3 linked regions of the Coturnix japonica genome follow. The protein of the gene in region 1 purifies or fractionates together with the protein of each later gene. This does not show direct contact. Links are inferred from orthologs where the notes say so. Each region holds a gene or a part of one and is shown in the gene's direction. Other genes may lie near its edges.

Region 1 (4,687 bases):
ACTGGTTATCTGGAAATCTCAAGGCTTGGACAACAGACCCCTGACAAGGAGGGAGGTGGTTCTGCTATTCTTGTCCTTTGGGTTTTATTCTGGAAAACAAATGTATTCATTGCAGGTGGTTGTCAGCAGATATTCTACATCTGGGATGTGATTCCAATGTCATTTCTTTCTTCTAGTTGTCCTTATTGGAGACTCTGGAGTAGGCAAGAGTAACCTCCTGTCACGCTTCACACGCAATGAGTTCAACCTGGAGAGCAAAAGCACCATTGGAGTAGAATTTGCAACAAGAAGCATTCAAGTCGATGGGAAGACAATAAAGGCTCAGATATGGGACACAGCAGGGCAGGAGCGATACCGAGCTATAACATCAGCGTAAGTGGCAGCCTGTATGGCCGGAGAGAAGCTTTTGCTGAGGAGGGTGAACTTGGGGCCCTTCTGATTCCTCAAACTGCAGAATAGGATGGTTTTATTTTCTCTTATAATATCTACATATAATATGGGGAAAGGAAGCTTGAATGTTATTCTGTCCTGAAGCTTGACATAGTATGAACAGATTTACTTCTCACTGCTCTCATGATATGTAACTGGAGGCGTTTCTGAGCTGAGAGACTTATTTAAATGCAAGTCACTGATGAAATAATAGCTGTGATGATGGAGGTTTTATCAGTGGTAACCTATGACCAGAACACCTCCTGTATCAGTAGGGAGGCACTGCTCACTTTGTGTGTTTAATGAAAAAAACAGCACAGCTAAAGCTCGATTTGAATAAAGCTGGAGGTAATTGTGGGGTGGGAAAGCACAACCTCTTTCTTTTTGAATGTGTAACTGTGCCTCTCCCTGGTCTGAGAGGAAACCAAATGGGGCATTTCATAAAGAGAACACATCAAGTTGATGGTTTTTTTTTTTTTATGATCCAGTGAGTCATTATAAAGTCTTCCTGCTGCTCCGGGCTGTGCCTGTGCTGCACCCACAATGGTGGGTGGGGAGCCTTTCAGGTGTGGGTCAGAGGCTGAAGGTGACAGTAGATCCCCCACAGATACAGTGCTTCATTTTTGAGGTGCAGGGTAACCCACCAGCCCCTGAGCTGCCCTGGCTGCTGTTGTGGTCACACGGATTAACCCTGGTCTGGATGCTGTATTTCAGCTGCTTCAAGTCCCATGTATCATGCTGTGTGTTATTATTATTTTTAATATAACTGTCTTTGCAGTAGTGGGAAACAGTTATTACTCAGTAGCTTGTCACTTTCCATCATGTTTCTTGCTGGTTCTGTAACACATCTCTTCACCCACAGGTACTATCGAGGTGCTGTAGGGGCATTACTGGTGTATGACATTGCTAAGCACCTTACTTACGAGAATGTCGAGAGATGGTTGAAAGAGCTGAGAGACCACGCAGACAGCAATATTGTAATCATGCTTGTGGGAAACAAGAGTGACTTGCGCCACCTGAGAGCAGTCCCTACAGATGAGGCCAGAGCTTTTGCAGGTTGGTGAACTCAAAAGAATTTCCTAATTCAAACTGTCCAGACTCTGCCTACCTGATGTGAAATACGTGAGTGTACAGGTAGGAGGGAAAAGACTCAGTGCCACGTACTGCTGCATGTCTTTTTTCATTCAGTTAAAATTGAAGTCCTATAGAGCCTGTATGCTGATAGACTCTCAAGAATCTGCCAGAGGCACTTGAAAACAGTTTTAAAACAGACTTAGTTCCGTGCCTATGCATTGCTTTTCTTGTAGAAGCTCTGCTGGTGGGTTTAGGTTTGTGTTTTGTGCATGGTTTCAGATCATAAAGAGGAAAACCCTACAACTTTTAATGCTTTTTTTTTTAGCACTAATGCATCTATCTCATCAGCAACACCTCGTACGTTGTCTGGTACAAAAGTTCTTTTGGATGGGAGATAAATGTTATACATCTCTAATTATAGTATTTCTGTCCACACAGAGAAGAATGGTTTGTCATTTATCGAGACATCTGCTTTAGACTCTACAAATGTGGAAGCAGCTTTCCAGACTATTCTGACAGGTGAGTCATCTAATACTTTGTGTTTGGAGGAGGAAGGGCAGAACGCTGCTCTGATACGCAGCAAATAGGCATTTATTTGCCTATAAAGTGTGTAAAATTTAGCAATTCAATCATTCCTCACAGCTGTAATATTCAGACGCTGCTTTTGAAGTGTCATAGTTGATAGACCAGCACAGGGCTTGGGAATGAGTCTGGTCTTACTCACTTTGCTCTGCCCTGGGTTTCCAGTCCGCCTGGTTTATGTGCTTCACTTTCCCATTTGTGGAACAGGGAGTGGCTGTGTGAGAGAATTGTCTGATGCCCACCTCCACACAAAATGGCTATTGTCAGAGGAGAACGCAATCTACCTTGTTTCCATCACTATTAGTGAGCATAACAGCTGCCAAGAAGTGAGCAGTACTGTAGTCTGGGACGCAGTGACTCCTGAGTGCAGGGTGGTTGCTGTCAGTGCATATAATAAACCTGGCTGGACTTCTGGCCTTTGTAGCACGTGATAGCACTGACTGGTGCTGTTTTCATGCTCAGTGGATGAGGTACTTCCTTTTTGTTTAACCCCTTTGTCTGATAGGCGTAACTTCTCGCTTCTGTGACATTGGCAGCTAGTTAGATTTTTTTTTTTTTTCTCTCTCTCTCTCTTCTTGGCAAGTAATAGATACTTTCTTACACAAACGCATCATAAAGGACTTTTTAGCCATATTGGAACATGCAGTGCGGGAGGTAGCTAGAAAATTAATAAATATACATTCTGGAGCATTTTCTTGGGTTGTTTGAAATATATTATGAGTACCCTTGCAGTGGGGGGGTGGTGAGAGAGAGATCTAACTGCCCTCAGCCCCTTCGTGGACCACTCTGTGCCATTGCAGTGATGACTGGTGTGCTCTGGGCTGCTGCCTGTCTGTGTGATGCTCAGATACAGTATACTGCTGTTGTTATGGAGAAGCAGTTTACCTGTTGGGCACGCACTAGGCTGTTTCTTTTCTCTCTCCTGGTATGCTTCCAACAGCACTTTTTTATTCCAGAAGTTATTTTGGATTCTAGTTAGTGGAGGTTTGATATGCATATATATATAATATATGTATTTTTTGTTTGTTTGTTTTTCCTGGTTTTATTTCTGGAGGATAGCAGTCTGTAATGTGAGAGCAAATGATTAAGATTAGCCCTCAGTGGACTCTGACAGAGTGTTGGGGCTGTTGCTTTCTGAGAAACGTCAGGGCTCCCTGTGTTGCTGTGACAGTGTTTTGAACTCTTGGGCATGCGGACAGAATCCTTCTTGAGGAAGGGCTGGTTCAGCTGTGCTGGAAGAAACACTTCTGTTGATTAGTGGGCACATGGTTTGCTCCAGACATCAACTCCTGTTTCAGGGAGATAAAGATGAAGTAAATAATACATTAGCAGAGGCTTGCCTCCATCTCTGCTGTAACTGGCATGCAAAGGATGAATGTTCTGCCAATAAACTTCTTGATAACACTTCACAGCTGGCTATTTGTGTTAATGATTTGCTTTGAAGGAAAGAGGTGAGCAGTCATCTGAGGAATGTGGTTTTCAGAGTGACCCTGTGGAATCATGGATAGTCTGTATGTATGTGGCTGGGTTGCCTCCAAATGTAACCCTAGATGAATACTTGCTGTCATTTGAAGAAGAAAGTTGATAAAGCCAACAGGCTTTGCCACAGGCATCGTGTGGAGGAGGCTGACAGAAGGGGCAGGGCGTGCTGCTGCACCAGCTTAGTTAATATCTTCCATGCTGGGAAGAGTGCTGCAAAGACATCTTAGGCTGCTGTCAGTGCCTCTCAGCTGCTTAGATCTTTCCTGGACAGGGATGTCTTGACTGAGATCTGGAGCAAAACTCCTTTGTTTCCCTGCCCTACGGAAGGTGATCTGGTTGGGACAGTGGTCTACACCTAGATTCTCAGATGAAGCCACCTTAGGTCGATAGCTTTGGGTGTAGGAAACATGGATCTATTATAGTTAGCACAGTCTTAAGTGAGTGTGTGGTCTGTTGTTACAGATGGTAGCAGAAGAAGAAAACTTTCCTTTTGTCTTGCTGTGTTATAGATTTGCTGGAGAAGGGCAGTGGGGGGGGCAAGGCATTAAATCTAGTACACTTCCTCTCCTGTTGTTTGTACTAGGTGAGTTTTGGGGACCTTTTCCTTCTATGGCTTAGAATAATGGTCCCTGTCCAAGCTCCTCTGTTGTAAGATGTCTAGACTTCAAGGGCTAATTCTTGTGCACACAAAGCTGCTTTGTATTATTTGGCAAATATGAGAGACTGGTGTTTTAATCTTATCCCCTGTGAGCATTCACAGCAGGATAAAGCATCCTTAAAGTAAACTGGAGTCAGCCTCCGCTCCCTGTCTCATTCAGTGCTGCCTCTGTTTCTGTACCACATTCTTCTGTGGTTTCATCTCTAAGGAATCCCATCTCCAAGGAAACAACATCACAGAGTACTGACATTAAGAACATTTCATAAGAACAGAACAAGAGGGATTTCCTCTTTTTGTTAGATCTATACACCTGAAAATGAATGAAATACTAGCCCTGGTTGAACAGACAAGGGCTGGGCAAACAGACAGCAGTTGTTTTTGTTGTTTTTTTTCCCAGCTCTTACAGCACAAGGCCTGTCTCACATGGTTACCAATTACGCAGAGAAGCATTCTGCTGACTGC
Region 2 (5,151 bases), on another chromosome or scaffold:
GAAGTAGGCCTTATTCTTGACAACTTTCACAAACCCCTTGAATAACAAAAATAAGACATTACTAACATGGACCCACATAAGCCAAGGCCATCCAAACTAAATGAATCACTATTAATAAAACTGGTGGATCAGGAATAAGATGACAGGTTTTCATATGCAATGAGTTCAAAACCATCTTAAGGAAGTGACAGCGGGATTTTTATCCTTCACACAAACTTCCCTGCCCGTGACTTCAGATTTGCAAGAGAGAAAGAAATCGTATCTATTAATAAAACATTTGTCTGCACAGACTAACTGCCACAGCTCCTCACTGCCAGTCACTCCCACAGAGCTGGAGCTATAGTCCCTCGGCCGTTTCACCCTAACTCCCCCTACAGAAACGAGGAGCTGTCCTAGCACCGCCCCGACTCAATCGGCGCCCAGCCCCGCCGGTCTCAGAGCAGCACCCTCGGCAGGACAAGGCCGGCCCGTCAGCCGCCGGCTCCCCACCCAGGTGCCGTGTCACCGCGGGCCCGGCCCCGGCTGCCGCCCGTCCTCGGCTCCCGCTCCCTCTCGCCGCCACGCGGCCCGCCACGCAGCGAGGGGCTGCGGGGAACCGGGGGCAGCGGCGGGGACGAGCCGGACCGTGCCGGACCCCGCGGGGCTCGGCTGGAGCCGCCGCGATCCGCCCTGCGGCGCAGCCCCCGTGCCGCAGGCAGCCATTGCCACGCCGGAGCCGCGGCGGCCGGCGGCGGGCCCGGCTCAATCGGGCTCCATCCGGGCCGGAGGAGCCGCGCGGCGGGCGCGGAGCGGAGGCCGGAGCCGTGCTACGGCTTGGGGGTCCCGTGGGGCCGGTACTGACCATCGTGCCAGGTACTGTCCGGTCTAGGCCTAGGCCGGGGCCCGCTCCGCACAACGACTGCAGCCACTGCAGGGGGGAAAAGGCCGCTCCCACTGCGCAGCCGCAGCTCCTACCCTGCGCCGCGAGGCGGGGCGCCGCAGCTCGGCCCGACCCCAAGGCTCGACACCGCCCGCTGCAGGAACGGAGGAGCGACAGCACCGCGACCCCGCATCGCACGGGGAACCGGCACTGTACGGAGTGAGGGCAACGGGGACAGGAGACAGCCGGGAACGGAGCGGGAACGGCCGCCGCCTGCAGCACCTCTGTATGTGTATGGGCTGTATGTGTGTGTGTGGGACAGGCAGGTCCCGCGCTAATCCCTTGGAGCTGTGAGAGAAGCGCAGAGCAGCACCTTTGGACGTGACGCGTTTCTCTGCTTGGCCTCACTTAAAAACAACAAATAAACGATCATATTTTGAATATTAAACGTTATTTTAAAAAGTCGTACATCTGCTACAAGCGATCTCAAAAGGACAAAAGAAAGAACAAAGCGCTCCTTAGTCACACAAGAACCGGCGCCGATCCCGTACCTCACACAGATCACAGAATGACCCGGGTTGGAAGGGACCTCAAGGATCATGTAGTTCCAACCCCCCGCCTGGCAGGGCCACCAAACATACACCTTTACTAGATCAGGTTGCCCAGGGCCTCGTCCAACCTGGTCTTGAACACCTCCAAGGACGGGGCATCCATGCCGCATCTCCATCTACCTCAGCTCCAGCTCCGGAACCGCGGCGCTCTGCCCGCTGTCCTGGCTCTGAGCTGCCGCCGATCGCAGCACCCGGTAACACAGCACCCGGTAACACAGCACACGGTAACACAGCACACACACACGGTAACACACACACGGTAACACAGCACACACACGGTAACACACACACACACACCCGGTACCACACACCCGTTACTCCACAGGTGGGTCCAGGCGGCCCCGCCCCGCCCTCACAAATTCGAGGCCTCCCAGCTGTGCGCGGTGCTGCCCGGCGCTATGGCTGCGGCTCAACAGGGCTCTGCGCTCTCTGAGGTAAAAATGCCAGTTTTTGATGTGATCATTTTTACCGGTAACTTTTAACGGTAGAAGGAGACTCGTACGGGTATGATTTCTTGATGCAGTTTCTCAGCTCGCGCTGTGTTTGCGGTGCTGTGCTCTGGTTGCCCTCCTCACTCCGCTGCCGTGTGGGGCTGGTGTGTGAAGCTGCTCCGCACTGTGCTGCTGCTCAGACTGCGTCCCTAACATGTGTTCTATGGGGTACCACGCGTGTCTCCTGTTAGCGCCCTTCAGTTCTGTGCTTTAAGCTTTCAGGACGGTTCTAAACAAACAAGAACCCGACAGGCTCCTGCCCGGAGCTGCTCTCATCTGTTTTCGGGATCCCGGTGTCAGGCTGAGGCCGCACAGCGCTGCCCGGAGCGTTACGGCTGGACGCGGTGTGGGCCGCCGGTCGGGCGCTACGGCGGCACCACGAGGCGCTGGGACGGAGCGGGTGCCCGGTGGCACCGCCTGGTGTGAGGGGCGGGCGGCGCGTGCCGGTGCGGTGTGCGGCACGAGGGAACCGGCGGCGGGAAGAGGCGAGGTGCGGTGCGGTGCGGGCCGGCCCGCCTCGCGTTTCGCCGTTGCGGAGCTGCGGGGCAGGCTCGGCAGACCCGGCCGTCACCCGGCTTCGCGGCGAGCGAATGAACGGCGGCGAGGCCGGAGCCGTGCTGCCGCCCCTGCCATCGGGCGCTGCTGCCGGCGGTAGCGGGGCCCGTTATCGGCCGTGTCGCGTGGGCAGCCCGCCACGCCCGAGCCCTGGGTGCTGTGAGGAACAGGCCCCTGCGGGCCAGGCCCGGCGCTGCGGGGGCGCGGGGCAGACCCTCGCGGCGGCTGCGCGCACACTGCGCCTGCGCGGCGCTGGCAGGGACGTGGCCCGGCTGCCGGGGCCGGCGGGGACAGCGGGAGGCGGAACGGGCGGGACGCGGCTGGGCGGCTCGGCGGGGCTCGGCGGCGGGTTACGGGGCACGCCGATGCTCGCGCCTCTCTGTCGCGGGCGACGCTTCCAAGGTGAGGCGCGGTCAGGGCGCCCCCGCCGCTGAGGGGCCGGGGGCGGGGCGCGACGGGGCCTAGGCGGGGTGCGGCGGCGGCCCGGCCGCGATGTCCGGCCCGGAGAGTCGGGCCGGGCGGTGCCGCTCCCGGAGCCCGGTGGGCTGAGTCGCTCAGCGCCGGGTTCTGTTCACCGCGGCCGGGCCGGGGGCCGTGGGGGCCGTGCACCTCGGGCCGGCCGGAAAGGTGGGTAATACGGTGGGGAGAGCGTGACTCCGTGGGGCTGGCAGGCCGGGGTGGGGACAGGGAGCAGCGCTCGTGTTTGGTCTGCGGTGCGTTCACAGGGGTTTATCTGTAAAGGGAGATTTTTCTCAGTCACGTTTTTATGGAGGTATCGTTAAAGCAGGAGCCTTTGGGTGTGTGGTTGTTGAGAAGGTGTTCTCAAATGGTGCTTTAGAGGTCTGTCTCACTGACACCTCGTGCTTCATCTGCACCGACTTGATCGTTTAATAAGGGCAAGAAGTCGGTGTTGGTGTTGTGGCTGCTTAAGGTTCTTTTCAACTTCGGTGTCCAGAGGTGTTCTATAGTCACACGGAATTCCTGCTCGTTTCCTGCGTTGCTGATCGGAGGGCAGTTTGTGAGAGGTTGCCATGGTGTGTTTGGGGTTGTCACTGTGAGCTGGTATAATCAGGTAGCACATTTTAAAGCATTCTTACATTGTCCTGAGTCAGTTTTTTCTGACAAGTGGCCTACAAGAGCTGTAGGAAGGAGTCACATCTGTACGGAGGAGATTGGCAGCATTTCGTGTTTTCCTTATCTCTGTAAGTGTTTGTCAGGAAACTCAAGTTGTTTTGTGTTTTTTTTTTCCCTAACTCTTTTTTTTTTTTTTCTATTCACTTGGCGGCTAAAAGATGTGCTAATTGGATTCTCTTTGTTTTTCCTGTGGATATTTTGCTTAAATGCACTTATATATCTTCCCTTCTAGCCTCCAGTTTCCACTTTGGTCGTGGTCATACAGCTCTGTATTTGCATACAGATGTCAATATTTAAAGGCATTTTGAGGTAGCTAAGTATAAGCACAATTTCAAGCAGTGGTTAGGAGAGGAAATAAAGGACGATGAAAGAGGGACAATCAGGAGGAAAACACCAGCTATTATGAATCAACATTGCTTGAATTTGATTAAGCTGGGATGAGAACAGCTGTGGTGAATATCCCTGAGGTCCAGCCAGCCCAGCAGTGCCTCTGAGAGCAGCAGATGTTTGGAGAAGAACAATTAAAAACAAGAGTCTGTTTCCTCCTCAGATCTCTGAGCAGGCTGAGGCTCAGGCGCTTCCTGAGCTGGAGGTCAGTGGTTTGGATGGATTCTTCGCGTGTCTTTTTTCATTGCCTTCTGTGTGTTTTTCTTCTGTAGGCTGGTCCTGATGGGATTTGAGCAAGTAAACAGGTGATAGCTGGTGAATGGAGCAGGTAAAATGGAGGTGGTGAGGAGGAGGAGGTGGGAGAAGCTTCTCAAAGTTGACAGAAGGGCTGGGGGAAAGTGAAGTGCTTGAGTAGTTGGTGTCAGCTGCTTCTTTGGATAAGGGTGAGAGAGAAGTATTTGAAAAATGGAGAATAGGGGGAAGTGAAGTTCCTTGTCAGGGCACTTTGAAAACCAGGGTTGTTTATCTTGTTCATTCAGTGTTCTCATGTAACAGTCTAAAAGGAAAAAAAAAAAACTGGTTGTTCTTTGCTTGAGCAGCTTTTTTCCTTACCTTCATTTCATACTCTGAATTCAGTATTTTTTTTCCAATATTTTTTTTTCTAATAAAAATATGTTCTTAATTATAAAAGCAAGCAGTCAATACATAAGTTTATAATAGTGATCTGTGACTCTTAAGGCTCTCTGACGTTTTGACAGTGTGATGGTGTTTTCAGACAGCATGCTGAGTTAAAGCCCTGTGTCCTATTTACCTTATGAAAACCAACATGAGCTGTTGGTAATTTTTTGGTTCATTTAAATGGGGAGTACTGTCTTCATTATAGTCATCAGCTTAAATATCTTTGGTTAAAGAGCGTCTTTTCCTTCTGCAGCAAGTGGTGGTTGGAATAACTGGGGGTTGGCAACTGGGCTTAGTCATAATGGAGGGGGACTGAGCTTACTTTGCTCAGCTCATGTTCAGCAGTGATGTATCCCTGTTGTTTACATGCATGCTTAGCAAAAGCTGCATGCCCACAAGGTAGAGGCAGAAGTGATTTAGCAGAAGTCTGGCTTAT
Region 3 (5,223 bases), on another chromosome or scaffold:
CTTACAAAACACCATATCCTGGGGAACACAGCCACACAGACAAGCATCTCCAAGCTCTGAAATCAGATGCAGGAGACCTTGGAGTGAATCTTTGGTCAGCCATATGTTTTGGGTTCAATTTCTACCTCCCCATCCCATGGATGATGCGGAATCAGCATTTCTACCCTTGCGCGTCTCCATGCAGTCCTGAGACAGGCAGGAGATCCCCCACTGGCTGTGGAGGTAACCAGTTCAGAAGATACTTCTCGTCCTTAGTTTTTAATGCAATAATAAAAATAATAATAATTCTACTTTAAAAGCCTATGTCCCTAGGAGACTAGATGAATCAGGAGACTGGTAATGTTCAGCAGAAGCTTTAAATCTACCCTGTATTGGTCTGTAGTGAGTATGTTAAGATTTAGTGGAAGGAAGACCTATCTGCCAATGTCAGCACTGCTAGCAAATGAGCTAGGAAACAATGGAGAGAGATTCCTGTGCTTCCTGGGCCTCCAAACCAGGAAAGCAGCAGCACACTCAGTGAAGCAAACGCAACTTTTTCTGCCAGAAGTCAGCCTGGCAATGGCCAAAGGTTGAGAACCTTCCAGTACTGCTCTTGGTAGGATGGTCCTGCTGACACCATGGGGTGCTGGGGACAGGCTAACATGTGAGCCCTGATTCATGGGAGGCCAGGGGAAATTCACATCTAAGCCAAAGGGAAAAGAATATATCATCCCCACATCAGGAGGGGAGCAGGCTTGTGGGGATACAGCTCGTCAGTGCTGGCGCAGTAGCCTCAGTGCTCATCTCTGTCTGCAACATGGGAAAGACTGTGCCAGCCCTAGCAAGAAAACACTCAGGTCATCTGTAAATCCCAATCAAAACATTTATCTTCTGTCCCTGAAAACTTTGTCCCTATTACATTCTCGTGCAGCTCTCCACAAACAGCACAGACAACGGAGCTCTACAAAGCCCTGGCAGCACTGTGAAGAACTTGAGCTTTGTTCCTGCATTAGCTGCCAGCCAGCACTAACACCTCCTGCTCAGGTTCTGTTCTGGCAAGCGCATTTCCTGATGCTTAGAGGTGCTCGACAAGACCTCCAAAGCCAGTATTCTATTTGCCTCCATGGACAAAGCTAGTCGGGCTGTACCACAGTGAGCTGTGGTTGTAATGCTCCTGTTCTGGAGGAGCTCTTTTGCTCTGATGCAAAAGGCAAATGCTTTTGGAGCATGAAGATCAAGCCCACTGCAGTTAGACTGCACTAATAGCTACGTAGACCTGATTAAATCCCTGAGCTGCGTTTTTATTTTAGAGTTCCTTAATTCTGCAGCTATATAATCTCCTTCGTGTAACAAAACATGAAGCCATGCAGCTGCTCTCAGTTACTGACAGGCTGCTAAACAATTCAAGATGCTTTTCAATAGCTTTTTTGTTTTGTTTTTCTTTTTCTTTCCCCCCCCCTCAGCTTCCAGAGCTGTCTGCCTTCCCATCTAGGGTTACATCACTGTTGTCTTTAATAATTCAGAGACCATCCCATTGACGCTAATGCGATCAGCATGTTTGGCTGTCAGAGCAGGAGCAGTGAATAACAAGTCAGTAATGTTATGTACCACTAATTTGCCCTTATTTCAGCACGAAGAGTTTGAGATGCACACTGCTTATTTTTAAGAGGAACTGGGTGAATCAACTTGTGCTTTTCCAACCTGTCTCCTTCCTGACATCCCAGCTGGTTTGGCTGGGAAGCTGTATGATATTTTAAGGCAACAGGAAGGTGCAGCCCTACATTGTGTGCACATGAATGACGGCCGGATTAGGGCACAGCCCCACAGCGGCGCTGCCCCCTCAGCTCCTCAAGATGGCGCCCGCCATCACGCCGCTTCCTCTCCCCTCCCTCACTTCCTCCCGGCACGGGGCGGTGCCTCCTTTACTCTCGCGATACATTCCCGTCCCCCGCCTGCCCGTCCCGTCCTGCCCGGACGTGGCCGCGGCCCCGCGGCGCTGCACTGCTGGCGGCTCGGCCCAGCCCGGTGCTGCCCGGCCCCGCCATGGCCTCAGACAGCGACACCGAGGAGTTCTACGATGCGCCCGAAGATGTGCACCTGGCGGCCGCCTCCCCCGCGCCGTGAGTCTCGTGCGGCCGCCGCCCTGCCCTGCCCTGCCTCCTCCTCCCCTCCCTCGGCCCGGCCCCCCCTCGCCGTCCCGGAGCTTGTGGGGAGCTGAGAGAGCCCGGCCCCGCGTCCCCCCATCCCCACACAGCGGGTGATGGGGTGGGCTGGCATCGCCGTTATCCTGCTGGGCTGAGATGAGCCTTCATCGGGCGGGTGGGATGCGGGTCTCGGGTGGGATGCGCTGCGGTGCGATTTGGTAGCGCAGATCTCCTTTTGGTGATGGGAAGATGTGATTTTTCTGGGGCAGAAGAAGCGAGCAGGGTGCTGCCTGTTAAACAACTTCAGGTGCACTCTGTCGTATGGTTTTAATGGCGTTGCCTGGGTGTTAAGTACGATTCCGTGCAGTGAGTTCTGAACAGCATTTAATAGCACAGCTCCCTGCACCTGTTAGCTCGAAGCTGCCTCATTGTGTTGCTGCCATTAACCAAACGCGCTCCCTGTTTTTAAATGGTAATTATCTTTCTGGCTTTGTGCTCGGTGGGTTGTGTCAGCTCTGGTTTTTCACACAGTCTCAACCCAAACCTCTCCACGGTTTGACCTTGCAGGATGAGGTGCCACGTAGCTCCTTTGAAGAGCAACAAGATATGGGTTGTGGAATCCATCCTCTGGAGCTTTAATAATTGACCAAGGGTTTGTTTTAACCTGTGGCAGCGGCCATTGCATGCTTTGAACAAGGGAAAGACTGGATTTACATTCTCATGCATCCTATAGCAAAGCTGTTCCTAACTTAACTTTTTACATAGCCTGGTTAAAAATGCATCTCGGCACACAGCTCTGCAAGGTGTAGTGAGATTGAGTTAGCAGCATGTTGTTACAGAAACATGGTTATGCTCCAGCTTCTCACCTTGCCCAGGTGCTAGTGATCACCGAACCCTTCTGAGCTGTTTTAACTCGGTGACTGAAAGCAGCTGAAAACAAGGAACAGCAAAACCTCTTCAGTGAGTTAAAACAGCTGCGGCCTGAGAGGATGGAGACAGGGTAGGGTGAAGGTGTGGGATTTGTGGCTGAAAACAGAAGTGGGAAGCAGGAAACTTCCATCCTTTGATCGAAGTGAGCCATGAAATCCGTTCCAGCTCCATATCTTACCTTTTATTTCCTACAAATAATGCTGTCTGTCCAGACTTGCAAGTTTCCCCCACCCGTATTAAGTAGGGTTTGCTATGGAATAAATTAAAAGAAATTAAAACTGAAGTTCCTTTAGGTTTCTTATTGCTCTTCCGTAACCTATAAGAATGCATCACTGGCTCGGATTGATGGCATCAAATAAGGAGGTGATCTCAGAGGGCTTAGTCTGCAATAAAGGTACTGAATCTGTCATTCAGTCTGATATTCAATCTGTATTAACAACACAGAGAGAGTGTTTTCTCTGAATAAGCTTTGGGATTTCCTGAGAGCTGATTTCATATTTACATTGGTGCTTCTTGGAAGCAGGCTTGTAGAATCGCAATTGCATGGGGAAGTTTAGTAATTGCTCATATAGAAGTCCTGAATAATAAAATGACTGCACGCTTCTGTATTGCCTGTGGTGAGGCCTACATCCTTCCCTTCTGCTGCAGGACTTTTGATGTGTAACTCTGCTTTTGGTATGGTGTATGAACATCTTGCTGTTTACTAGCTCCAAAGCAACGTCTGTTTCTGTAAGCAGTTCAGGATCTTAGGAAAAGAGATATAAGTGCCAGTGTAGCCAGTCAGTGATGGCATCTGTTGTTAGTGGAGTGGGGGGGGGGGGGGGGGGGGGGGAGGCAGCATGGCAAAAAACATCCTGATTTAACCTCTGTCACCCTGTTGCCAAAAGGCTGTAACTGAAAAAAGGTCAAGGAAAAAAAAAACCTCAGCAATGATTCTAGGCAGGATCAGGAGGATGTCGGCTGGGAGAGATGAACGTGAAGTAAGGCACACTTGTTTGGATACAGGTACATGACCCACTTTATTTCTTATGAAGAAACACAGTTCACTTACTCTGTAATGAGGAGTTGCTAAATACTATTGTTTGAGTGGGTGCTGCACTAGAGCTGCTAGTGGGAGAGTGGCCTTCTTTAGGCTGATCAGTACTGGGATGAGTTCTGCAGTTAAATAACTACAGAGATCTTCAAGTGTTTACTTGACATTTCTGTTAATCAGACCTGTGTTGTGTTTATGCAGGTGAAATAGGAATTTTCTTCCCCTGTTGCCCAATCTTTGTAGGTAACTTTTAACTCCTCTATTTGTTAAACTGCTGTTACTGGTGGTGTCACATAAGGATACTGAAGTTAGAGGCATTTTACTTGAAATGTGGTCTGCAAAATCTATTACAAAACATTGTAGTGGAAATGCTAAGTCTCTGCTTGAAGCAGTGATGGAGCACCTGGTTGAAGGCAGGGCCAACCCAGTGGAGTTCAGGTGTATGTAATGTACCTGAGTGATGGAAGGGGTGAAGCCAGGATCCACCCCTTCCCAGCCATAAGGGTTGGCAGTGGAGGTGAGGGTGTCTTGCTGGAGATCCCTGCACACCTGAGGCTTTCTGAAGGTAAGTGGCTTCTTTCCTTTGCTTCTGTGCCCACAGCTGTTTGAGCAAATCCTCACTTGTTGCAGCCTGGGACCTTGCTGCTCTGCTGTCATTGCTGTGCTTTCCATCATGTTACAAATACATAATCCCATCATCCACAGAGCAATCCTGCATGAAAACAAAACTAAGTTTTTGCACTCTTCTGTGTTGTGTCAGTGAAGCATCAGAATGGGATGCTCCTTTGTTGGGTGCAGATTTTCCACAAAGCTAAGTGTTTAGGAGTTAAGGAATTTGGGAAGGGCAGCTGCATTGTTTGAACCTCTCACTGTGCATTGCTATTGAGGGAGTGATCTGCCTGCAGCAGAAGGGAGCGTGCTGGTAGCTGGCAAGTGCTGTGATAGGAAACGGTACAATCTTGTCATCAAAACAAGACTCAGTGTTTAAATAACAGCATTCTGAGAATCTTGCTGAGACCGCAAGTTCGGGATGTAGTAAAAGTTGACAGTTCACTGATTGGTTTGCATGGTGACCTGAAGAGAAGTAATTACGTGATGCCAGTCCCCTGAGATACCTCCTTGTGTAATTAGTGAGAT

Evidence for each region. The genes of interacting proteins can lie anywhere in the genome.
Region 2: the proteins of RAB11A (region 1) and EVI5 purify together in Homo sapiens (co-immunoprecipitation; 3 studies listed by BioGRID and IntAct, with this or other methods). This does not show direct contact. The link is inferred for Coturnix japonica from reciprocal best matches to the Homo sapiens genes RAB11A and EVI5.
Region 3: the proteins of RAB11A (region 1) and WDR44 purify together in Homo sapiens (affinity purification with mass spectrometry; 3 studies listed by BioGRID and IntAct, counting the BioPlex papers as one, with this or other methods). This does not show direct contact. The link is inferred for Coturnix japonica from reciprocal best matches to the Homo sapiens genes RAB11A and WDR44.

Annotation. Positions count from the first base shown.
Region 1 is NC_029525.1:16,455,969-16,460,655, forward strand, and holds part of RAB11A (ras-related protein Rab-11A), read left to right. Parts: intron 1-176; coding exon 177-372; intron 373-1,291; coding exon 1,292-1,485; intron 1,486-1,941; coding exon 1,942-2,022; intron 2,023-4,687. UniProt on the Homo sapiens protein: The small GTPases Rab are key regulators of intracellular membrane trafficking, from the formation of transport vesicles to their fusion with membranes.
Region 2 is NC_029523.1:12,180,891-12,186,041, forward strand, and holds the start of EVI5 (ecotropic viral integration site 5 protein homolog), read left to right. Parts: upstream 1-1,837; 5' UTR 1,838-1,868; coding exon 1,869-1,904; intron 1,905-2,431; exon of another isoform or gene 2,432-2,451; intron 2,452-2,783; exon of another isoform or gene 2,784-2,918; intron 2,919-3,024; exon of another isoform or gene 3,025-3,143; intron 3,144-5,151. Other genes in the region: RPL5 (60S ribosomal protein L5), read right to left, coding at 1-36, 842-844. UniProt on the Homo sapiens protein: Functions as a regulator of cell cycle progression by stabilizing the FBXO5 protein and promoting cyclin-A accumulation during interphase. May play a role in cytokinesis.
Region 3 is NC_029519.1:3,211,304-3,216,526, forward strand, and holds the start of WDR44 (WD repeat-containing protein 44), read left to right. Parts: upstream 1-1,909; 5' UTR 1,910-2,022; coding exon 2,023-2,099; intron 2,100-5,223. UniProt on the Homo sapiens protein: Downstream effector for Rab11 which regulates Rab11 intracellular membrane trafficking functions such as endocytic recycling, intracellular ciliogenesis and protein export.